3 linked regions of the Pelodiscus sinensis genome follow. The protein of the gene in region 1 interacts with the protein of each later gene in a pairwise test. Links are inferred from orthologs where the notes say so. Each region holds a gene or a part of one and is shown in the gene's direction. Other genes may lie near its edges.

Region 1 (7,755 bases):
ACACTGGACGTAGTACTTTCATATCATGGTTAAAACACACACAGAGGCAGTATCAGAGGGGTAGCCATGTTAGTCTGTAACTTTAAGAAAGTGTAGTCATGTAACACGTTAGACCAGTGCTTCCCAATTTTATTTGGTCACAGAACCCTTTTAAATTCAAAATAATTTCGCGGAACCCCTAATAACAGTCTTGTATATGGAGCTGAAAACGTAGACCACAAATAAGTAAGGATAATAATAAGCAAATGCTAAACAAGGTCATGAGATCAACATTTAGTTTAATTGCACATATTTAAAAATAAAAATCACATTTAATGTGTACAAAAAATAAATCTTAAAAACTAATATGCATTATTTTGGCAGTTGTCCTACAGACAAGATCCAAAACTAGCTTACGTGACAACGACAAAATTTTATCTTTCGAGAGCACTGCCTGCGCACTCCCACACAATCAATTCTTTTGACAGCTGAAGTGTCGACTTTGTTCGAAGCAGTGCTAGTATATTCGTATTCAATCACCCACATGATCTACGCTCCCTGAAAATGAGTACGGTGATTTATGGTGGTATATAACAGGTGATCACACTACTGACGGTGCATGGCACAGTGCTGAGTAGTGATATCATCGTCCCTACCCTCTGGCTAAGCTGGCATTACACAGGGACACTTATAGTGGCAAACAAAAGAAAATTATTTTCAATAAAATTAATAAATGCTTAAATTTTGTTTAAATCATAAAACATTATTGCAATAGAAATTAATCACGGAACCCTTATTTTAACTTTGCAGAACACCATTTGGGAAACACAGCATTAGACTAACAAAATATATCATGAGTTTTCAAGAGCAAAACCCACTTCAATATGGAGTTGCTGGCATTACTTCTTCTATGATTCTTGTATTAGCTCTCCAGAACTGTAAACTTAAATTTTAAATTAATTTAATTATTACATAAGAGGAGAATGCCTATTTGCTCACTGATGTCCTTAATTACATTTTTTCCAATTTGAGAACACACCCCTAAGAATGTCTTACATATAGTAACACATGTACACACACCAGATCAAAAAACTAAACCATGACACCTAGAAAGGACACAAATGTAGTCTTAAGACTGACTTGTCTGTATGTGACATCCTGTTCTGTAACGTATCCCAAAAGTGTTCTTGGTCAAGATGTGAACTACTCCGATACATTTGAGAAACAGCCAAAAAAATTCAAGAGCCAGAAGAAAGAAAAAAAGCCTGTAACCTTGTTATTAAACTGGGCCAGTGGTTTTACATCAACAGCCAATGCCTTAAATATTGCTGCAGTGATACTGGAAGAGTAAGAATCTAATTTAAGAAACTAATTCATAACACTGCTACTCCCTCTTTGGGAACAAAACTACCATTGTATGTGCTTTATTATTTTCCAGATAAAAGGAAACTATCTTGATTGTTTTTCAGTAACAAGCCACTAATTTGACTTACCTGATTCTTTGCTTTGCTCAAAGTATTGGTATGCAGACAAAATCTCACAGAAAATGCCTCATCTCATTTCTAACTCAAGTATGTATATTTAAAATAAGATACAGGAAAAAACGCAATATCTGTGCTAAACTGATAACTATGCTTTCCCTTAAAATTTCAGTACTAGACAATAAACAACAGTAATGAAATAGTAGATGGCCCAAAAAGATTGACTCAAAATGTCGTTTTACTTAGTTTAGCACTGGATGCATTTTATTTAGAAGAACATTTTATATTTGTTATATTTAATAGAGCACTAATTTGTATTTACTTAATTTGAATTTCAGACTTGAAAAGCCAACAGTACCTAGTTGAGTAATTTTTTTCCCCAGTTATCTATAATTTTACAACAGAGCTTCAGAGAGGTAGCCAAGTTAGTCTGTCACAGGAAAAACTTAAAAAACAAATAGTCTAGTAGCACTTTAAAAACAAAACATGTAGATGATGTCATGAGCTTTCGTGGGCAAAACCTACTTCTTCAGATGACAGCCGTATAATGAGTCCAGATCCAAGGATAAATGGGGGGTGGGGGAAGGAGGGGAGGAAGAAAAAGAGACAGGGAGTAGATAAAACTTAAAAAACAAGGATTAGTTTAGTAGCATTTCAAAGACTAACAAAACATGTAGATGGTGAGTAGATAGTTCAGGTAGTTACAGGGTCTGTTAAGAACCATTAGCACCATCGTTGGTTGGTTGGTTGGTTGTTATTAAATGGTGGAAGAGCGTGTCTGAGCCATTCACTACCCCTCTTTAGACCATTAACATAAGAATTAAACTCGTGAATGAAGTTAAGTTCCAATCCTTCTTTGTGTATTTGGCTTGTAGAAGTGGTCTGAAACAAAACCAGGACTTGAAGATCCATTCATGAGTGTCCAGGAAGATTAAATTGTTCTCCAACAGGTTTTTTGTGTTGCCTTTTCAGATATCTGATTTGTGTCCATTAATTCTTTCCTGTAGAGACTGTCCAGTTTGGCCAGTATACATTGCAGTGGGGCATTGCCACCATTTGATGGCATAAAGTTCCACCACCCTATACCAGAAACCTACTGACTGCTACCCTTACCTTCATGCCTCTAGCTTCCATCCCAGACACATTTCCCAATCTATTGTATACAGTGAAGCCCTAAGATACAACCATATTTGCTCCAACCCCACAGAGACAAACATCTACAGGATCATGCACCTATAGGAGCATCTTAAAATTGAAATACCCACCTGAGAAGTGAAAAAACAGATTGACAGAGCCAAAAAAGTCCCCAGATATGAACTACTTCAAGACAGGCCCAGAAGAGAAAACAACAGAATTCCACTTATCGCCTATAGTCTACATCTTAAATCCCTCTAACACATTATCAACAATCTATAACCTATCCTGGAACATGACCCCTCACTCTCAGAGGTCTTGGGAGAAAGGCTACATGTTTTGTTAGTCTTTGAAGTGCTACTAAACTAATTTGTTGTTTTTTAAGTTTTTACAACCTAGAGCAGGGGTTGGCAAACTTGGCTCATTGCCTGTCAGGGTAATCCACAGAATTTGTTTACCTTGAGCATCCACAGGCATTGCTCCCCTCACCCTGCAGCTCCCAGTGGCCGCCTTTCACCATTCTAACAGTTCCCATTGGTTGGGAATGGCAAACTGTGGCCAAAACCAAAAGGCAGCTTGTCAACTAAAGTATGTGAATGTACTGCTTCAACCTTGCTCCTGCTGTCAGAAGTGCCCTACTTCACACAGTAATGCCACCTCTATAAGAGGCATAGAGCTTAATGGATGTAATTGGGATGTCAGTGAAGACCCTATAGATTATTTGATTTGGCTCTGAGTTGTCATTCTTGTGAATTTCCCAGCTCTATAGTATGAGCCACGAAACTGACAGGAAAGCCATGCAGCTCCATCTGTCATCCCAACATGGGTGGGCTCTACCTAGAGCCTGGCAACCCTGGAGGGGCTCCTTGGAGGGAGCCCAACAGCTGCCCCCCCACATCAGACACAGAGGTCCCCACGGAGCGCCTAGGAAACACGGATGGAGGAAGCTGCACTCCAGTAGGGAGCTGCACAGAGTTGAGAGCTTGGACTCTCCGTCCCCACCGGTATTGCCCCCTCTTTAAGCCACTAGAGTTGCGCTGCCGGTGAGGATGCGCACGACGGACAACAGGTGAGATGCACGGCTCTCGTGAGGCGGCTGTAAGTTAGCCCAATGTGAGCGTGAGGGGCAGGCGTGCCCTAAACCCCGTTCGCTCCCGCCTGAGCAAACGCTGCCCTGTGTTTATGGATGGTCTCACCACTCGGCACGAAGAGCGTCGCACGAAACGCGGAGCCTGCTCGGCGTCTACTGCTCGGGAGCTCGGGGCCCGCTAGGGCTGGGACGGGCTCTGGCTCTCCGGCCCCGCGGCGCGCACTACGCGGCCTTGCCCCCCCCAAGTCCGGCGCGCGGGCTGCGCAGCCCAGAAGGGGGAGCCGGGCGGATGCGCCGCGCTAGAGGGGACGGTGCCGGGATGGGCCCCAGGGCTGCCTGGTCGGTTCCCAGCCCGGGGCGAGGAGCTGCCCCCTCCGCGCTGCTGAGCGCCCCGGGATCCCTCCCCGCTCTGGGCGCCGGGGTAGCTGAGCGGCCGCTACCACGAGGCGTGTCCCGCACCTCACGCGTGGCTGCCGGAGGCTCCTATCAGCCCCGCGCCGCCCCTGCCGGCGACGTTGCTGTGGCTGCCGGGCCGTTACTCCTCCGCCCGCGTGACGCGCCACGCTCCCGGCCTCCTTTCCTCGCGCCTCGGCGGGAGGCGGCGCCAACGAAGCGACAACAGCCCCGTAAAGACGCGAAGTGTGAGGAGCACAGTCGCGCATGCGCCCCTCGGCGGGGCTTTCCCCTTCCTAGCAGCACGTGACTCCTCCCCCCCTCCCCGGGATGAAGTAACAGGAGTTTGTTTTGAAGAGTTTTTTCATGCGTGCCTCTCTGAGGCGAGCCGGGGCCGCGCGCGCGGGGGGGGGGGGGCGGGGAACAGCGCGAGCCTCTCTCCGCGTGCGCCGCACGTAGCTCTTCACGTGCGGGGGGAGGGAGGAAAGGAAGGAAGAGCCGCGGAACGGCCTCCTGGCTCCGCCTCCCCCTATTCCCGTCAGAGCTTCCCCAGGGAGCTGCGCCCCCCGCCCCCTGGGCCCCGAGAGCGCGAGTGAGGCGCGGGTTGGCTCCGCCAAGTGGCGCCGCCGCTGTTCCCTGACTAACGGCCGCCCCGCCCCTGCTCCCTCCCCCCGGCGTGTCCCTTCCCCTCCCCCCCTCGTGTCCTGCCCCCTCCCCTGCCGCCGCCGCTGCTGCTGCTACCAGCGCAGCCTGGACTGAGGCGAACTCCGGAGCGAACTGAGGAGAAGTGAGGAGGCGGCGGCGGGGCTGAGACTCACCAGCCACAGGCAACGGGAGGGAGGAGGCAGGCGGCGAGGACACCGGGCGCAGCGCGGCGGCAGAGACCCAGCAGCGGCCGGGAGGAAACAACCAGCGGCGGCGGCTCCTCGGGAAGCAGCAGTGCCTGGCCGCCCCCCCTCCCTCGCCGTGGAGAGCAGACAGGGGCAGCGGCGCGGAGAGGAGCCGGGCTCAGCGTGTGCGCGCGGGAGGAGGAGGGGGGACCTGGAGGACTGCGCCGACCGGCCGGGGGCGCACGGAGCCGGGGAACCAGGGGCGACCGAGTTTCCTCCTTTCTGCACCCGGGACCTGGCGGCGGGGTTGGTTTGTTGCTGATTGAATCTTCTTCCTCCCCGGGGAGCCCCCCTCCCCGCCCGGATCCGGCCGGGCGCCCCGTGCCGTGGTTGGGCTGCGCGGCGGGCGCTCGCGGGCTCTGCGCGATTGGAATATGGTTGGGGAAATGGAAACCAAGGAGAAGCCGAAGCCGAGCCCCGATTATCTGATGCAGCTGATGAACGACAAGAAGCTGATGAGCAGCCTCCCTAACTTCTGCGGGATCTTCAACCACCTCGAGCGGCTGCTGGACGAAGGTAAAACACTCCCCCGGGCCTCCGCGCTACTCCTTGGAGCCGCCTGCGTTCTCCATTCCAACCCCAAGAGCCGGGGGTGGGCGCTTCCCTGGCTCCTTCTCCTCCCGGGTCTCTTCAGACTCGATCTCGGCCTTTCTCTTCACAAAACAAAGGGGCAGTGGGGTACCTCCAGTTTGTGCCTGCAGCATCAGAGGTGTGGTGGGGGATCTCGTCTTGTGTGGTCCCCCCCCCTCCGGTTTTCTGCACATTGTCTGTTAAATGAGGGGAAGGGGAACCACTACCTTATGGAGGAGAGGGAACGAACAGGAAGGGGAAAGGCGCTGAGGAATGTGGTTTGGGGGGGAGGTGGGGGGACGGGAAGGTCGTTTTCAAGCTGTGTGGCTACTGGATCACGCTGGAAAGTATTGAAGGGAGAAATAGTACTATGTGGTGCCTTTTTTTGGAAGGGGGGCGGTCAGTCGACTTATTTTGCGGGCCTGGAGCCAAGGGAAGGGTGTTTTGGTGTCGGGATTTGGCTGTTCTGGAAGCTGCTTCAACTTGAACGACGAACGCCTGAGAGGCAGAGCTCCTTCCCCTTCTCTGGCACGGGCCCCCGCATTACCCCACCCCAAACTGGTCAAAGTAATAATTAAAAATTTCCTAGCGCCTGAGAAGGGAGCAGACTCTTCTCTCAGTTGTCGTTACCTTTTAAAGAAGCTAACCTAAAGAATCCTACGTGTGAGTCTAGTTACTGAAAAGAATTAAGAAATAAATTCTCTGCTGCCAAATGTCCGCTGCTGCCTTCAGCCAGGGCGCCGTCTTTTCTGAGCCCCGCACCCAACTCCTTGCAAAGGGTGCAGAGAGGCCGCTTAGTCTGGGCCACATTCGTTCTCGCTTAATGATTCTTTTTCCCGGAGAGTGTTTACAAATCAATTATCTCATTTTAAAAGAATGTCAGACGTTTGAAACCTCAAACGTCGTCTGCCTGTTCTCTTTTAATAACTGCGTTATTGTAGCGAAGTTAAGTAGTCTCCTTGTATTTAGGGGGTTTTTTAGGCTCTTTGTATGTTTAGGGTACCCGTTGGTGCTCAAACAATAGTACTCAGCTGAATGTACCGCCACTCACCTTGGTGGGAAACTACAAACTGAACTATTTAAATTATATTAAGCCGACTTTAGTAATCTGTGTAGAAATGAAAACCGTTGAAACAATTTCAACTGTGTGGAGAGTTTAACAAACTACAGGATTTTGAGATCTTATTGGAAAGGATTTCTGCCTGCAGTAATATTCCTTATTACTTGAAAGAAAACTTTGTCAAAAGATTTACTTCAGACGGGAAAATAATTGCTTATATTTCATGGGACAAAATATTTAAAAATGTGAAAATGAGAATGTAGCAGAAAATAACCTACCCAGAAAAGTACCTTTTTGGAAGGAAATGACTGGGGTGAAAAACAAGAATTGGTATAAATGGACTCTAGTAAGCAGTATTTCCATGGAGAAATTGTTTCTGAGGATTGCTTTTATAAATCTGGAGTGGATAAACGTGGTCATCACAAGAAACTACTTAGAACATATAATTATGATTGCTGTAAAATATTCTTCAGAAAGATTCAAAAACAAGGGATGTAAAATCAAAAAGAAACTGTATGAAGACACATTTAAATATACATGAACTCCACAGTGGCTTGGCAATGGATTTTAAAAAGTTCCTGAAGACTCTGAAAGTTATATGATCTGGGTGGGGGGGAGCCCTACTAAGTTTATTGGTCATAAGAACAAAAGAAACATCTCTTGTTTCAAATGGATATTGAAATAGAGGAATACATGAGGTCACTGCATCTTTTGAAGGTCATTGAATCCTGGAATACTTGGAAATCTGTTCTTTTAGCAAAGTTTGCTAAATCCAAAACAATGGATATGAGGACTGTGTGATGGAAGTTTAAAAACGTTACTGAACATTCACCGTCTCTTTTTCCAAACTGCTCATGCATTTTATGTTTCTGAATAGCCCAGGAAGCATTCTGCTGCTCTTTCAAGTATTCCTGCTCTTTTCTTGATTGCATTGGTGTTGGGATGGAAGAATTGCGGAGGCCGAAAACTTTCTGGAATGTTTAAAAAAAAAAAAAAAAGTTGCTTGTAAATCTAGTGAAAATTTCAAAGTGTGAACACTAAGGGGCGCCAGTTCTTTCTTTTTGTGAGAAAGATGAGGACAGATTTGTAAGGTCTTGCTAACCTTAATATTACAATTAGTATCTTTACTAGAAGATAGTCAAGAATTACATTTGATAT
Region 2 (7,554 bases), on another chromosome or scaffold:
GGCAGGGTGCAGGCAGGAGAAGGGGGCGGGGTGGGCAGGGGGGTGTATTTAACTGCCAGGAGAGCGAAACGCACTTGCTCCCCATTCAACCTCCCCCGCCCCCACAGCCAGGAAGAGGAGACGAACGACATGGTGGCCACGTCCCACCCCAGAAGCAGCTGCATCTGCCTTTAAAATGACACCACCGGGCCTGCTCTCCGGGGGGATTTGAACCCCACCAGTCCCACCCACCCGTGCAAGCTGCGGTTCGGATACCAGCACAGATGGGGCATCGCCGGGGACACACCCGCCCTTCTCAAGGGAAGGATACGGCAGCAGAAGGGGGCAGCCAGCAGTCAGATGGCGAAGGATCCTTTCCTGGTTCTCTCCCTCCAGGCCTCCTGAGAGCAGCTCTGCCCGGCACGGGAACACCTCCTCGGCCAGCTGGGCCATGTCAGCCGCTGGGAGAGGCAGGGACAGGAATTCAAGCTGCCCTCGGGCCCACCCAGGGGCGGCCCATCCATATAGGCGAAGTAGGCGGTCGCCTAGGGCGCCAAGTTAAATGGGGCGCCAAATGGTGGCGCCAGATCATTGAGGAGTTTGGAGGTGGAGGTGCCGATTGCATGGGTTGCCTAGGGCGCCAGCTGCTGGCAGCTAGTCTAGGGCCACCCCTGGGCCCACCCCTAGCTGCACGGCCCAAGCTTGGCTCAGGATCCCCGGCTTTCTGCTCCCCTAAGCAGCGCCCCAACGGCTCGCAAGGGAAACCCACCGCGGGGGATGTGATCTGACACGGGCAATGGCAATTTGATCTCCAAGGGCCGGTGACAAAGATCAAACACAAGCCCGGGCTGGGAGGTGAAGCTAAACCAATTCAGACAGGAAGCGGGCAGAGATCTATAATGGGGAGGGGAATTTGCGACTGGCAGGGTTGCGGTGGGGTCTGTCGCTGGAGCCGTTTAGACCCAGACAGGCTGGTGTTTGGAAAGATCAGCTTCATTCACCCAGGAGCAAATTCAGGGCAGGCCTGTGGCCCCTGTTCTACAGGAGCTGGGGCCAGCTGATCCTACCAGTCCCTGCGAGAATCAGAGAGAACGTACCACACTGTTACCCGGCACTGGGGCCTTCATCCAGGCTGGGGCCTGCATGCGGGAGCCTTGCCAAGGAGAGCCGGTGTTTTTCCCGACAAAGCCCCACCTCCTGCAGCCCCGGGATTCCAAGGGATCTTGTGCTTTCAAAGAAAGCAGAAGTGTCCAGGCAGGCTGGACAGTGAGGGCCCGAAAAGCGCCAAAGGGGAGTCCCCAGCCCTGAGGGCGTAGGAGAGTCTCACGATCTCTGCCCGAGGCCGGTGTTAGCCAGACGCGGCTCCCAGAGGGGCCTTCTGCCTCGGCCGGGAAATTAGCAGCCCGGCCGTGGGGATTTTCCCAACCAAGGCGCTTGCAAGTTTCCAAGCAAACGAACCTCACTGGAGGGCCAGAGCCAGGAGCCGCAGCCAGGCAGAAGGCAGGGCTCAGAGTAAAGGACAATTAGCTCATCGGATCTGACCTCCGGTCCAGCACAGGCTGTTACGCGGGCCCCAGCTTCCCTCCACCGAGCCCAAAGCAGCCCTTCCGGGAAGGCGGCCGGCTCCCAGCAACGTCTGAATTTCAGCATGGCGAGAGCAGAGCTCCCATGGCTCCCTGGGGCCCTCTCTCACATACCGGTGACGGGGCCCTCTGGGGACTGGACTTCCTCACCCAGTCGCAGCCCGGAACGGGCTTTGGAGAGTCCCTCCAGCGCCCAGCCCAGTGCAAAGCGCCTGCCGTGGGCGATTGTGACGACTGACCTGAGAACATTTCCCCTTGGGCGGTGTAGCCTCTCTCCAACGCTACCCGCAGGATCCTCTCCAGGGAGATGTCCTGGGACAGACCGAGGAGGGAGCCTGCCATCCACAGTGCCACCAGCCCGCACCTGGGGGGGGAGGGGGAGGGAGAAGAGACATTGCTGGGATCCCGGTCCCCAGGCTGAGCTGGATTCAAAGACAGGTAATTCTCTGCAGCACAGTCCACCCTGGAATGCTTCCCTGGGTCACCGTGTCCTTTGGCCTCCTCTCCCTCCCGTTCCCGGCCTCCCCACATTTCTCGCTTCCCCTTGGGGCTATGATATGATCTAATGGGAGCATCTGGCCACAGACACCAGCTCCTGGCGTCGTTCCTCCTCTCCAAGGTGCGAGGTACAACTCACGGAGGCTGCCACTCGCCCCCCCAAGCGGGGGCTAGGGGGAGCAGCCGCTTTGTCTAGGGATGCTTGCTCAAGGTGGAAGAGGCCAGACAGTTCTAAGGACTGCCCCCGAGTGGGACGTTACGTTTAGATCAACTCGTCAGACCTTGTGCTACCTCCTCATGCTCCTTTTCCCTCTGACACAGCGAGTCATGCTTCCCCGGCCTTTTGAACTCTCGCCCACTGCTGGAGCGGAGCTCCCCGTAAATATCCACACGGCTCCCTCCTCTTCCTCCTGAGCAGCGCTCTGGGAAATTCTCCTTTGCTGGGACACCTCCAAGACACCTCACGGAGATTAGACCGCCGCTGTGCGGAGACCCCTGGCCACTACACTGGCATGGTCTCCTGGTCTCCCATCACTCCGTGCTCTGTCTGTCTCCACGGACTGGCTCTATCTTAGCCCGAGATTGCACGGCTCTGGGGCAAGGATGGTCTTTTAGGATGTTTGTCCAGGACCCAGCCCAACAGGGGCCTAGTCCGTGGCTGGGAGTCCTAGGCGCTGACGTAACACAACTGGTGTGTAACAGCAGCCAGCTCCCTGCCAGCTCAGACTGGCCAGGCCTATGCTCCTCGCCCTGCCATGCTCACAGAACAGCTCTTGGCAACTTTTGGGGAGGGAGTAAATGCCAGACGGGGAAGCTGTGGCTCCATAGGACTGGGACCCCAAACCCCTCCCCTCTTCCTTTGCCCGTGGTTGCAATACTCACTGAGGTCCCTCTTGGATTAAGGAAGGCACCGGCTTGTTGTACAGAAGCCACTTTAAATGCCTGCTAAAGCTGAAAGAAAGACCCAAACAAGCTCTTACTGCCCGTTTGCCCCGCAGCCCCTCTTCCCCAATGTGGGCCCCTCCGCGTGACTAATGTGAAGATCATGTCTCCTCCTTTTGGGAGAACTAAGCAGAGTGCTGACTTCATCTGCTGCAGGGTTTGCGGCGGTCTCTGGGGTGGGATGTGGCCACTGTCGGCCGGCCACACAGCCACGCCCCACTATGGGACAGGAAGTGGCCCAAGGTCCTGTACCCTCTTGCCTGGCCAACTGAATTTAGGGAAGCAAAATGGAATGATCCGAATTAGGCCCTGGCCAGGACACTGGAGTTCAGCACACCCGGGCTCTGGAGCAAAGAGCAGAGACCAGGCATGAACGTCTATGTCTCATTAGAGTTACGGGAACCTCCAGCAACACACCAATCTCTATGGCCATCCTGGGGAACTGGGGTCAGAGCTGAGCGATGCCTCCCCCTTCCCCTGCCCCACAGCGGCCCCTTGCGCTGCCGAGAGAGTGCCCCTCTGCTGAGCCCCGGCCCTGCTCCCTGCCCCACAATGCCCCCTTGCGCTGCCGAGAGAGTGCCCCTCTGCTGAGCCCCGGCCCTGCTCCCTGCCCCACAATGCCCCCTTGCGCTGCCGAGAGAGTGCCCCTCTGCCGAGCCCTAGACCCGCTCCCTGCAGCACGGGCACCCCTGGCGCTGGGAATACCAAGCGGGTCGCCCACCCAGGCCCGGCGCGGCTCAGCAGGCGAGACTGGCGGGACCCAGCCCGGGGGGGTGACCGGGCGGGGCCCCACCTGGCTGTCCTGCGGCTCAGCAGCTCCCGGACGTCGTCTCTGCCCCCGGGCGCGGGGGCCGCTCGCTCCAGGGCCGCCTTGAAGAACTTGGCCTTGTCGACCCCGCACACGGGCAGGGACTGAGCAGGGGGGGGCAGCGGGGGAGGCGGCGGGGGAGGGGGCAAGGCAGGGCCGGGCTGGGGGGTGGGGGGAGGGCCCTGGTGGGGGGTTAGAGTGGGTGGGGGAGGGGCAGGCACCCCACCCCTATGGGCCATCCCCGCCCTGGCTGGGGGCAGCAGGAGGTCAAAGGGCGCAGACTAGGCCAGGGGTCAGAGGTCAGTTGGCGGGCGGGGGGAGGGGGCGTGGCTTGGAGGGGTCAGGGGTCGCCACCGGGGGCGGTGTCAGGTGCCCCCCCAAGAAGGCGATGGCGGGACAGGTCTGCGGTCGGACGAGTCTAGTCACGTGGTTGGACACCCGCTTCCTTTGTGTCTCCCCTTCCTTCCGGGGCGCGCGCCAAAGGCCGCCAATCAGCAGAGCCACAGCGGCTACTGACAGCTGCTCTCAGCCAATGGCCGTTCAGGGGGCGGGAGTTACCTTGCCGACCACCCGGCTTAGGCGGGCGAGCCACGCTCGCCCCCTGCGGATTGGTCCCTTTCCAGGCGCGCGGCACGGCCGGGATTGGCTCCCAGGCCCGGGGCCGACGTCCTTTCATTGGCCGGGGCTGGCAGGGCGCGCTTTTGGATAGGCTGGTGAGGCCGAGGCTGCTTGGTGCTGATTGGCCCACGCGGACGGCGCTCTCGGCGCGGCTCGTGTGGCGGCGGCGGGCGGCCTGGGCCTGCGGACTCCATCGGGCTCCATCGGTGAGCGGCCGCGGCGGGGCCGGGCCATCGGGCCGCGGGGTCGGGAGCCGGGGCCGGGCCCGGCCTGGGCAGCCCGGTATTGGCGGGGGAGGGGGCGGTATTGGCGGGGGAGGGGGCGTTTTCCGAGGGGGTGGGGTTCCCGGGGGGGGGGTGGTCTCTACATCCGGGTCTCTCCCGGGCGCAGAGCCACGTGCTGGCTCCCCTCCCCCCAGGGTGGGCGCCCTAGCTCCCTGGGGGCGGGGCTGTCGTACAGTGGGGGGCGGGGCTGCCCTGCTGACCCGCCCCCCCATGGTGAGGTCATGACCCCAGACGCGGCCCTGGCTCTCTGTGTGTGCTGGCTGGGCCAGGCAGGAGTGAGCGAGCGGGTGTGTGGGGGGCGTTACCCGCGCATCACACCCCTCCGCAGGGGGGTGGGGGGGGCGTTACCCGCGCATCACACCCCTCCGCAGGGGGGTGGGGGGGGCGTTACCCGCGCATCACACCCCTCCGCAGGGGGGTGGGGGGGGGCGTTACCCGCGCATCACACCCCTCCGCAGGGGGGTGGGGGGGGCGTTACCCGCGCATCACACCCCTGTGCAAGCTCTGACCTGCTGGGATCCCACTGCTCCAGCTACTGGATGGGCACCATGGGGATCTCCTGGGGGCCATGACCCCTGGAGCCAAACCCCCCCCACCCCCGCCCATCATGGGGCTGCTGTGGCCTGGGGAACCACATCGCCATGGCTCGGGTGTGTCCGTTGACTGTCTCTTCTCCTTAGACCCCGTGGTTGCGAAGCACTTAGGATGGCTGTCCCGGAAACCCGCCCCAATCACACCATCTACATCAACAACCTCAACGAGAAGATCAAGAAGGATGGTGAGCCAACTCCCGCGGGCGTTCCTGGCCTGGGCTGGCCGTGTGGGTGGGCTGAGGGGTTGGTACCCACGGCGCGTACTTCGGAGGAGGCAGGGGCTCTAATCCCTGGCCGTCCCCGGTGCCATCTGGCTGAGGAGGACTGACCCCCTCTCTTTGGTGTGGCAGGTGTGCACCGGAGTTGCTTGCTTTGCCCCAGCTCCGCTGTGTGCACAGCTCCTCGTGGCGGTCGAGCGGTGTCTGTCCGATCCGTGTGCCTAACTGTGTGCCTCTCCCCTAGAGCTGAAGAAATCTCTCTACGCCATCTTCTCGCAGTTTGGCCAGATCCTGGATATCCTGGTGTCTCGGAGTCTGAAGATGAGAGGCCAAGCCTTCGTCATCTTCAAGGAAATCAGCAGTGCCACAAATGCCTTAAGGTCTATGCAGGGGTTCCCCTTCTACGACAAGCCCATGGTAAGTGCTGCGTGCTGCCCCCCCTCCTGGGGAGGGAGCCAGTCTGGAGGGTGCTGTTGGAGTGGCCAGAGGTGCCGGTTGGCCGTGCTCCTCCTGATGAATGGTATCTCCCGCCAGAGGATCCAGTACGCCAAGTCAGACTCGGACATCATATCGAAAATGAAAGGCACCTATGTGGAGCGGGACCGCAAGCGGGAGAAGAGGAAGCCCAAAGGCCCGGAGACGCCCCCGGTCAAGAAGCAGATGCCTGGCACGACCGCGCCGGTGTCAGCTGCGGTGCAAGGAGCTGTCCCTGTAAGTAACACCAGCAGCTTCTCTGACTGGCTCAGTGGCTGGTTGGCAGGCGAAGCTAGGGCCATGGGGGAGCCTTTCCCTGTGCGGCCAGTGTGGTCTCAGGCTGTTCCCAGATGCAAAGGCTGCCGGCTGTGTTTGGCTTCTGCGGACAGCTGTGAGTGCCAGGGCTGCCAGCTCTCAAAGCCTCCAGGGCAGCTCTGCACCCAGGATCTTGCTGTGAAGCCAGGCCTCCCTCTCTCTTTCTCCTAGGGGATGCCACAAATGAACCAGGGCCCTCGCATGATGCACCACATGGCAGGCCAGCCGCCATATATGCCCCCTCCGGGCATGATCCCCCCACCTGGCATGACTCCGGGGGGTATGGCTCCTGGGGGAATGGCCCCTCAGCAGATGATGCCAGGCCAGATGCCGCCGACCCAGCAGGTGAGTACAACAGAGCACGGCTTGGGAGCCGCCCGGTCGGACCAGAGCTTCCTCCAGGCGTGGGGCTTGGGCCGTTCCCCTCCAAGACGCAGGCTGCGGTGGGCAGTGGAAGAGAGCTCGGAGGCTCGTGTGGGATGATCTCCGAGCCAGTTGCCCCTGCTGAGAAGCCGGGAGTGCTGAGGCCCGGAGGGCGCTGGTGCATGGAGATCGGGGGCACTTTCCCCTGGTAATGGGGGTGAGGAGGGGGCTGCCTTGGGCACTGCCCCTGCTGTGGGCGTCTGGCTGGCGCCGCCCTGCAGGGCTCCCGGCCTCACTCTGCTCTCTCCCCCTCAGCTCTCGGAGAACCCGCCCAACCACATCCTCTTCCTCACCAGCCTGCCGGAGGAGACCAACGAGCTCATGCTCTCCATGCTCTTCAATCAGTGAGTGCGGGGCCTGGGCCCTCTGGGCGTGCCGTGTGGGGCTACCCCCTGGGGGGGAGGTGTGGCTTGTGGGCACGGTGGGGGTACGAGAGCAATCCAGGGGTCTGTCCCTCTGATGGCCGGATCCTGCCCCCCAGGTTCCCGGGTTTCAAGGAGGTGCGGCTGGTGCCTGGCCGGCACGACATCGCCTTCGTGGAGTTCGATAACGAGGTGCAGGCTGGCGCTGCCCGTGACGCCCTCCAGGGCTTCAAGATCACGCAGAGCAACGCCATGAAGATTTCCTTCGCCAAGAAATGAAGCCCCCCGGGGCCCAGGACTGCTCCCCTCACCCCCAGTTAGTCTGTTCTCAACCAGCCCCCCTTTTTAAACCAGTTCCCTGGCAGGTAAGTCTGGCCGCAGGGCTGGCCGGTTTTCCAGCCCAAACTCCTTCCTTCCCCAGAGCCCCTTGTGCACCGTTTGGCCTGGCTGCCCCGAG
Region 3 (7,744 bases), on another chromosome or scaffold:
ACTTAAGAACCCCAGGCGTCCCCAAGTCAGCTGCTGCTGAAACTGATCAGCAGCTGATTCCAGGAAGCCCCGGGCAGAGCAACTCTGCCTGGGGCTTCCTGTAGTCAGCGCTGGTCAGTTTCAGCAGAAGCTGACTTGGGGACGCCTGGGGCAGAGCAGCTGGGGTGCTGCTGGGTTGCTCCAGTAGCGCCGCTCCTGGGTGCTACTGGACCAACCTAGCAGCACCCCATCTGCTCTGCCCCAGGCGTCCTGATTCAGCCGCTGCTGAAACTGACCAGCAGCGGCTGAATCAGGACCTGGGGCAGAGCAGCTGGGGTGCTGCCGGGTTGGTCCAGTAGTGCCCAGAGCGGGCGCTGCAGGACCAATCGGCAGCGCCCCAGCTGCTCTGCCCCAGAGTCCAAAACAAAAGCCTGGTCTGCTGGGGGGGGGGGGAGCACACTAGCTGCCCCCCCCCCCCAGCAGACCAGAGACACGGGGAGCAGAGCCTCTGAGGCTTTGCTCTGGCAAAGCCTCAGAGGCGAGGGACCCCGCCGCGGCTGCGGCTTCAGTCCGGGAGCCTGTGGTCTGCTGGGGACGGTCCCCAGCAGACCACAGGCTCCCGGACTAAAGCCGCAGCCGTGGGGGGGTCCCGCGCCTCTGAGGCTTTGCCAGAGCAAAGCCTCAGAGGCGCGGGGAACCGCCGCTGCTGCCGCTTCAATCTGGGTGCCTGTGGTCTGCTGGGGACCGTCCCCAGCAGACCACAGGCACCCAGATTGAAGCGGCAGCAGCGGTGGTTCCCCGCGCCTCTGAGGCTTTGCTCTGGCAAGGCCTCAGAAGCGCGGGAACCCGCCCGGTGCCCCTGGTCTGCTGGAGACGGTCTCCAGCAGACCAGGGGCACCGGAGCAGCTTACGAACAGGGCTTTCTCGCCCCGACTTCCGGGGCGAGAAAGCCCCGTTCGTAAGTGCGGATCCGACGTAAGTCGGATCCGCGTAAGTCGGGGACTGCCTGTATTGGATAGGTCCAACATAGGTTTTTTCCCTTTCCTCTGAAGCAGTGGTTTTCAAACTTTTTCTTATGACCCAACTGAAGAAAATTGTTGATGCCTGCAACCCAACATAATTTGACCAGAGTGTAAAAGGGGGCTCCGGCTTGCGGGGGGGAGGGTATCAGAGCTGGAGTAAGAGGGGCTTACCTTAAGCAGCTCCTGACCAGTGATGCAGCAGGGGTGCTAAGGCAGCTTCCTGCCTCTCTTGCCACCACAGACCATGCTGCGCCCCAGAAGCAACCAGCAGCAGGTTCCCAGCCAATGGGAGTGCGGAGCTAGTGCTCAGGTCAGGGGCAGTGCACAGAACATTGTGTGCTCTCCCCCCACCACCTAGGAGCTGGGCCTGCAGCTGGCTGCTTCTGAGGTACAGGTAGCTGCCATAGCACCCTCACTGATCACTTGATCCCCCTGCAGCAACCAGACCCAGTGCCTGACATTCTACGATCCAGTACTGGGTCATGACCCATAGTTTGAAAACCACTGCTCTGAAGCATCAAGGGGGGATTACTGTCAGAGGTGGGATGATCAGCCAGATGGAACAATGACCTGTTCCTATGTAACAACTTCAGATACCGAAATATAAAGAAGACTAATTCTGTGGTTTACACTGGTCTCTAATTGAGAATTTATCAAATAGCATACAAAATATGGGGCAAATTCTGGCCTCACCCAATAAACAAACAACAACAACAACAAAACAATACCTTTCATGTAGACAAGGCCTAAGGGCTAGGCCACACTGGAAAGTTATACCATTAAAAGCTAAGGTGATAATTAAAACTAAAAAATTTATTCCAGTACAAATCCCTGTATGGACACTTATCTCAGTGCAAGGATATGTCTACACTACACCAGCACACCTGTGCTTTAGTAGTGTAGATAATCCTACATGAATAGATGCTTTTTCCTGTTGGTGTAGTTAATGCCTCTCTCTAGGAGGTGGGAACTACATTGATGAAGAATTCAAGCTGCATCTACAGTGACCTGCCCACATTGCATTGGGCATGACATTTTTCACTGTCCTGAGCTAGGTAGCTAGACTGATTGAATTTTTAAGAGTAGAAGGCCTACTGGTACTTTGTTTTCAATTTAGCTTATGTTACTTCGGAAAGGCTTTCAGATAAACCAGAAAAAGCTACTCTTAAACTGGAATAAGAGTGTCCACACAAGGAGTTGTGCTGGTATAATTATACTGATTTAATTGTATTGGTAAAATTATACCAGTATAACCGGTAAAACTGTCCTGTGTCAGTTTTGAGGACTGTACTTGATTTGGTGACTCTGTCTCTCTTCTGATTGGTTTTGTGAGAAACAATCCCATTCCAGGCACGTGCCATTTTCCTGGCGCAACCAAATCCTTACATTGTTTTAAGTTATGATAAGAGGAAGCTGGTATATTGAATTTGGTGGTTCTAGCTCAGGTGTGGACAAGATATGGCCCATGCACCAGATCAAGCCTGCAGCCTACCCTACCGGGACCTTCAGGCACGTTCCCTGCTTGTCACAGACCCAAGCTCAAAGTCACTAGCTGTTCCCTACATGTGCCTCTCTGCACTACGCAACTGGGGGAGGAGAGGAGGAGGAAGACTTTGCATGCTGCCTTCCCAGCCCAATCATAGCAGCTCCTAGAATCAGCATCTGGCACCCCACCCCTTCCGGCACCCCATCCCTTCCCGCACCCAGGGCCAGCCAGAGCCATTTTGGCGCCCTGGGCCCGGGCGCGCGGCACTGCCCCCAGGAGCATGGCGTATGTGCAGGCCCGCCCCCGGGGCGTACGGCTGCATGCACGCAGCCCGGCGTCTGCCCCTGGGGCGCATGCGCTGCCCAGCCCGGCCCAGCCACTGCTGCTGGCACGCAGCCCAGGGCGGGCCGCGCCTGGCCATGCAGGGCCCCACAGCTGTGGGGGAAAGGGTGCTACTGGCTGGCGCCAGGGGGATGGGGGGCTGGTGCGCTGTGGGACGCCGCGTGCCCCTTACAGCTGCCATCAGGCGCCCCCATCAGTTGGCACCCCGGGCAGCTGCCTGGCTTGCTCACCCCCTAGTCCGGCCCCGCCTACACCCTCACTCCCTGCCCCAGGTCACTGCAAAAACCCTCTGCACTCCCATTCCCCAGGTCACAGCTCCCCCTCCAACCCTGCACTCTCTCTTGCACACCAATCTCCCCCTCCAACCCTCTGCACTCCCATTCCCCAGGTCACCACCCAAATCCTCAGCACCTACTTTCCCCGTTTCAGGTCACAACTCCCTCCCAGACCCTCTGTCTCTTCCTAACCCCTCCCTCTCCAAGCCAGAATCCTCTCCTGCACTCATGCTCTCTCCAACACTGAATCCCAACCCCCTACCCCAGGTCACAACCCCCTCCTTCACCCAAACTTTCTCTCAGATCCCACACCCTCTCCTGCACCCTAATACCCTACCCCATGCTCCCTTCTGCACTCAGTCTCCATCCCAGACCCCACTCCCTTCATTGAAATGCAGCCCATGGCCACTTACCAAAATCTTGGAGTGCTCCCCCTCAGAAAGTATTGCCTACTCCTGTCCTAGCTCTTGGGCTGCGTCTAGATCGGCATGATTTTCAGAAATGCTTTTAACGGAAAAGTTTTCCGTTAAAGGCATTTTCGGAACAGAGCATCTAGATTGGCACGGACGCTTTTCCGCAAAAGCACTTTTTGCGGAAAAGCATCCATGCCAATCTAGATGCACTTTTCCGCAAAAAAGCCCCGAAAACAAATCTGAGCTGTCTACACTGGCCCTTTTGCGCAAAAGCTTTGCGCAAAAGGACTTTTGCCTGAACGGGAGCAGCATAGTATTTCCACAAGAAGCACTGATTTCAGACAGTAGGAAGTCAGTGCTTTTGCGGAAATTCAAGCGGCCAGTGTAGACAGCTGGCAAATTTTTCTGGAAAAGCGGCTGATTTTCCGGAAAAGCTGGCCAGTCTAGACACAGCCCTCCTGTTTAGGAGGAGATCTTGAAACCACCTCTCTAAAATATAGAGTAGATTAAGTTGAGAATTTGCCCTCACCTGCAGCGCTGGCTGCGTTCACTTTGTCTCCACAAGGATGTAGCAGATAGGGGGAGATTTGCAAGCCAGGCAGTGAAAAGGATTAGAGCCCCAGAAAGCTCATGTGAGAAGAGAGAGCGGCCAGCTTGTGGCTGCATAGCGCTGCCAGCAGGCATGCCAACACTCCACATGCCAGTGAATAAGCGGGCACGCACTGGGGGCGCCTGTTTCTCATACCTAGAGCCCGACGTGCAGCAGACAAGCCAGGAGGTGAAAAGGCGTCGCGTTTAATGCTCCCCTCACCACCGGGCAGCTAAGGCAGGCGCGGATCCGCTCGAGTGAGCGGGGGCAGGGAGCACCAAGCACAGCAGGGCGCGCGTGCCCGGGCTGGGGACGCAAGAGCCCCTCCCCTTCCCACCCGCTCTCCTTCTCCGGGCAGGCAGGCTCCAAGTACCCACCACCCCGCGCGTGGCCCCGCCCTCCCTGATTCCCGAAGGTTGCCGAGGCTCCGCCCCTCCCTCATTCCCGAAGGTTGCCGAGGCCCCGCCCCTCCCTCATTCCCGAAGGTTGCCGAGCGGGGTCGCGCTGCCTCGGCTCCCTAGCTGGCGTGTCCGGAGATAGCCGAGGAGCTCCGGCCCCTCCCCCCCCCCCGTCCCCGGCTGCCGCCGCCACCGCCTCCTCCCCTGTGGCCGGCCCGAGTCAGTGCCCAGTAGGTTGGTGGAGCGGCCGCTGCGGGACGGACTCTGCTGCTCCCGCGACGCGCTCTCTCGTCCCGCCGGCCCCGGGCCCGCAGCGCCACCGGGCGATCGCGCCAGGCGGGGACCCTCTCGCCCGTGTGCGGCTGCGGCGGCGGCTCCCCCAGGGGACGCGGGGCGGCCGGGGGGTCGGGCTCGGATGGCGGAGGGGACCCAGCCCCAGCAGCAGCAGCAGCAGCAACAGCTCGTCCCCGGCGGCGAAGCCCCCCGGGGCGTGAAGCGGGAGCCGGAGCAGGAGCAGCCCATGCCCGGAGGGGACGGCGCCGAGGCTGGCCACAGCAAGCGGCTGAGGACGGAGGCGGAGGCGGGCGGCGGCGGCGGCATGCAGGTAGCGGGGCCCCGGGCCCAGCGGGCAGGCTGCGCTGGGGGGCCGCGACCGGGGGGCGGTGTAGGCTGGGGGGCGCCCCCCCCCGCGCTGCCTGCGGACACGTAGCCGGGATGTGGGGCGCCGAGACCCTCGCTTCGAGGAGCGGTGGGGTCCGCGGGGCGGGGGGGAGCAGGGGCGCCGGGCCGCGGGGAGCGGCGCGAAAAGGGGAAAGCGGCTGGCCAGGTAGCGACCCAGCGGGAGGGTTGAGAGCAGCTCTGGAGCAGCGGGGCGCTGGCCTACAGGGATGGGGCAGTCTCCTGCGGCCGTAGGCTGAGATCGGAGCGGGATGTGGGATTTATTTGGGGGGGGGGTCAATTCCCCACCCGCAGCTTGGTGGTCCCATTGGTAGCAGAAATGAAGCCCGTGTTCCGAGAGGGGTTTTCGTCCTTCCTTGTCCCAGCGCCGAGCAAATCCACGAAGTTACTGTTTCTAAGGGGAAGACCGTGCTAATTCTGGAGAATGACCCTGAGGATTTCAGCTGTTTGATCAAAAGGACCGTTTTTAAGCTGTTGTATTTGCCAGTACTTTCTTAAATCACGTGGCTTATTTTTTTTTAATTAAAATTCCTTTAAAAACAAATTCTGCAATTTTTTCACTTGGTTGTGTCCCGCCACCCAGTTGACAATTGTAAGGGTCTCCTCAGTAATGGAGAAACTGATGGGGCAATACAAGAGGTATTATGAAACTGACCACATACAAAGTGATTTTAAATGCTCAGTGTAAAACTGAAGTAAAAATAGGTGTTTTTTGCTAATTGATTTAATAGTAATCTGAGGTATTATAATTAGTGAAGGTATACAGTATTCAGACTGTCTTTTACTGTTCTGTTCGCCAATTTATTAAAAAAGCACAATCTTGAAAATAGATCATTCTGCCCCATATTTTGTTTTTTTAAGCACTGACTTTTCCTGTTAAAGGTGTAGTAATGCCTAAAATGACAAAGAATGTTGTAGCATTGTTGGTGTTCAGCATGGGGACTGCCCTTCTTTAACATATTTTCTTTTCCCAGATTACTATGTCTGTTGCACTGACTGGATGCCTATTTCTCTCTTGGGTACCCCAGATTGGTGACAGCTGCTTATTGTGCATTTCCTTTACTGCTTTTTCTTGTTATTTCTTCAGTATTATTCCCCCATTCATTAAAAATGGGAAAAAGCAGAACTCCTATTTTCTATAGTTTACAGCGTGGTAAGAAGCATCATGTGGTTGAAGTATTAAGAGTATGGAGCCAGAGGTGTCTTGGATATCATGAGTGAACAAGGAGGATCTGGTCTGTAACCTTAGAATCTGCTCTCCTATAGATACAGATGGGCATCAGTTTATGAATTCATATGGGCACATGTCATATCAATATACTCTTTTAATTTACTGAGAGTACATTTCTTCTCTTGGCAGTTTTGATCCTATTTGTTTTTCACTGGGCCTTTCATTCCCCCATGGCTGAATATCTCCCTCTGATTGTAGCTTCTGTGTACAGTATCAGAGTCTGTGTAATGGCAGTGCTGCCTTGGGAGATGCTATGGATGGGAGTGGCAAAGGCAAATGGTTCGGCCATCGTGCATATGTTTTACAGATTAATGACACTTAGTCGGATCATGCTCTTGTATGCTTGTAAATAACAACTAGTTTGGAGGTGCAACTGTTAAACGAAAGAGAGGGTATTATGGAGTGTATTTATTTTTCTCTCTGGCTGTATTTTACACAGGGCTCGTCTACACTGGCCCCTTTTCCGGAAGGGGCATGTTAATTTCAGCGATCGCAGTAGGGAAATCCGCGGGGGATTTAAATATCCCCCGCGGCATTTAAATAAAAATGTCCGCCGCTTTTTTCCGGCTTTTAGAAAAGCCGGAAAAGAGCGTCTACACTGGCCCCGATCCTCCGGAAAAAGCGCCCTTTTCCTGAGGCTCTTATTCCTACTTCAAAGTAGGAATAAGATCCTCCGGAAAAGGGCGCTTTTTCCGGAGGATCGGGGCCAGTGTAGACGCTATTTTCCGGCTTTTCTAAAAGCCGGAAAAAAGCGGCGGACATTTTTATTTAAATGCCGCGGGGGATATTTAAATCCCCCGCGGATTTCCCTACTGCGATCGCTGAAATTAACATGCCCCTTCCGGAAAAGGGGCCAGTGTAGACGTAGCCACAGTGTTTTTCTGCTAGAGGTAAGCAGTTGGTCTCAGTGCTTCTTTCTGCTGTTTCTTGCACTGAATGTGCTGGAGCTCTTTGAAAACAATGAGATTAATTCATCGTGTGGTTTCTACTTTCACTCCTGCTTGGGTTTGTGGTTCTTAATAGTCTCTGAAGGGAGGGACATTTGTGTCCCATGGAAGTGTTTCCCCCACTATGTTGCATTAGTCTGGCGCTCTCCTGTGTGTGGCCCTTCCTGGTTGTTTTCTCTGCCACATCCCTCCCACTTCCCATGTTCCACCACACATCCCTCTTTCTCACCCCATTATATCAAAAGAAAGTCATATAGCACTTCAAAGACTAACAAGATGGTTTATTAGGTGATGAGCTTTCGTGGGGCAAACCCACCTCTTCAGATCATATCAATTGAACTTGATTTGGGACATCATGTATTCAGTTTCCAATGCCACTTTATC

Evidence for each region.
Region 2: the proteins of QKI (region 1) and SNRPA interact in binary tests that used the Homo sapiens proteins (3 or more experiments, as listed by UniProt). The link is inferred for Pelodiscus sinensis from reciprocal best matches to the Homo sapiens genes QKI and SNRPA.
Region 3: the proteins of QKI (region 1) and RBFOX2 interact in binary tests that used the Homo sapiens proteins (3 or more experiments, as listed by UniProt). The link is inferred for Pelodiscus sinensis from reciprocal best matches to the Homo sapiens genes QKI and RBFOX2.

The regions. Positions count from the first base shown.
Region 1 is NC_134713.1:116,033,362-116,041,116, forward strand, and holds the start of QKI (KH domain-containing RNA-binding protein QKI), read left to right. Parts: upstream 1-4,708; 5' UTR 4,709-5,341; coding exon 5,342-5,483; intron 5,484-7,755. UniProt on the Homo sapiens protein: RNA reader protein, which recognizes and binds specific RNAs, thereby regulating RNA metabolic processes, such as pre-mRNA splicing, circular RNA (circRNA) formation, mRNA export, mRNA stability and/or translation.
Region 2 is NW_027465849.1:7,412,362-7,419,915, reverse strand, and holds the start of SNRPA (U1 small nuclear ribonucleoprotein A), read left to right. Parts: upstream 1-4,475; 5' UTR 4,476-4,634; intron 4,635-4,686; exon of another isoform or gene 4,687-4,710; intron 4,711-5,392; 5' UTR 5,393-5,417; coding exon 5,418-5,490; intron 5,491-5,767; coding exon 5,768-5,940; intron 5,941-6,057; coding exon 6,058-6,234; intron 6,235-6,483; coding exon 6,484-6,657; intron 6,658-6,990; coding exon 6,991-7,079; intron 7,080-7,216; coding exon 7,217-7,376; 3' UTR 7,377-7,554. Other genes in the region: ACTMAP (actin maturation protease), read right to left, coding at 1,802-1,926, 2,943-3,011, 3,796-4,049. UniProt on the Homo sapiens protein: Component of the spliceosomal U1 snRNP, which is essential for recognition of the pre-mRNA 5' splice-site and the subsequent assembly of the spliceosome. U1 snRNP is the first snRNP to interact with pre-mRNA.
Region 3 is NC_134711.1:93,540,624-93,548,367, forward strand, and holds the start of RBFOX2 (RNA binding protein fox-1 homolog 2), read left to right. Parts: upstream 1-4,680; 5' UTR 4,681-4,919; coding exon 4,920-5,108; intron 5,109-7,744. UniProt on the Homo sapiens protein: RNA-binding protein that regulates alternative splicing events by binding to 5'-UGCAUGU-3' elements. Prevents binding of U2AF2 to the 3'-splice site.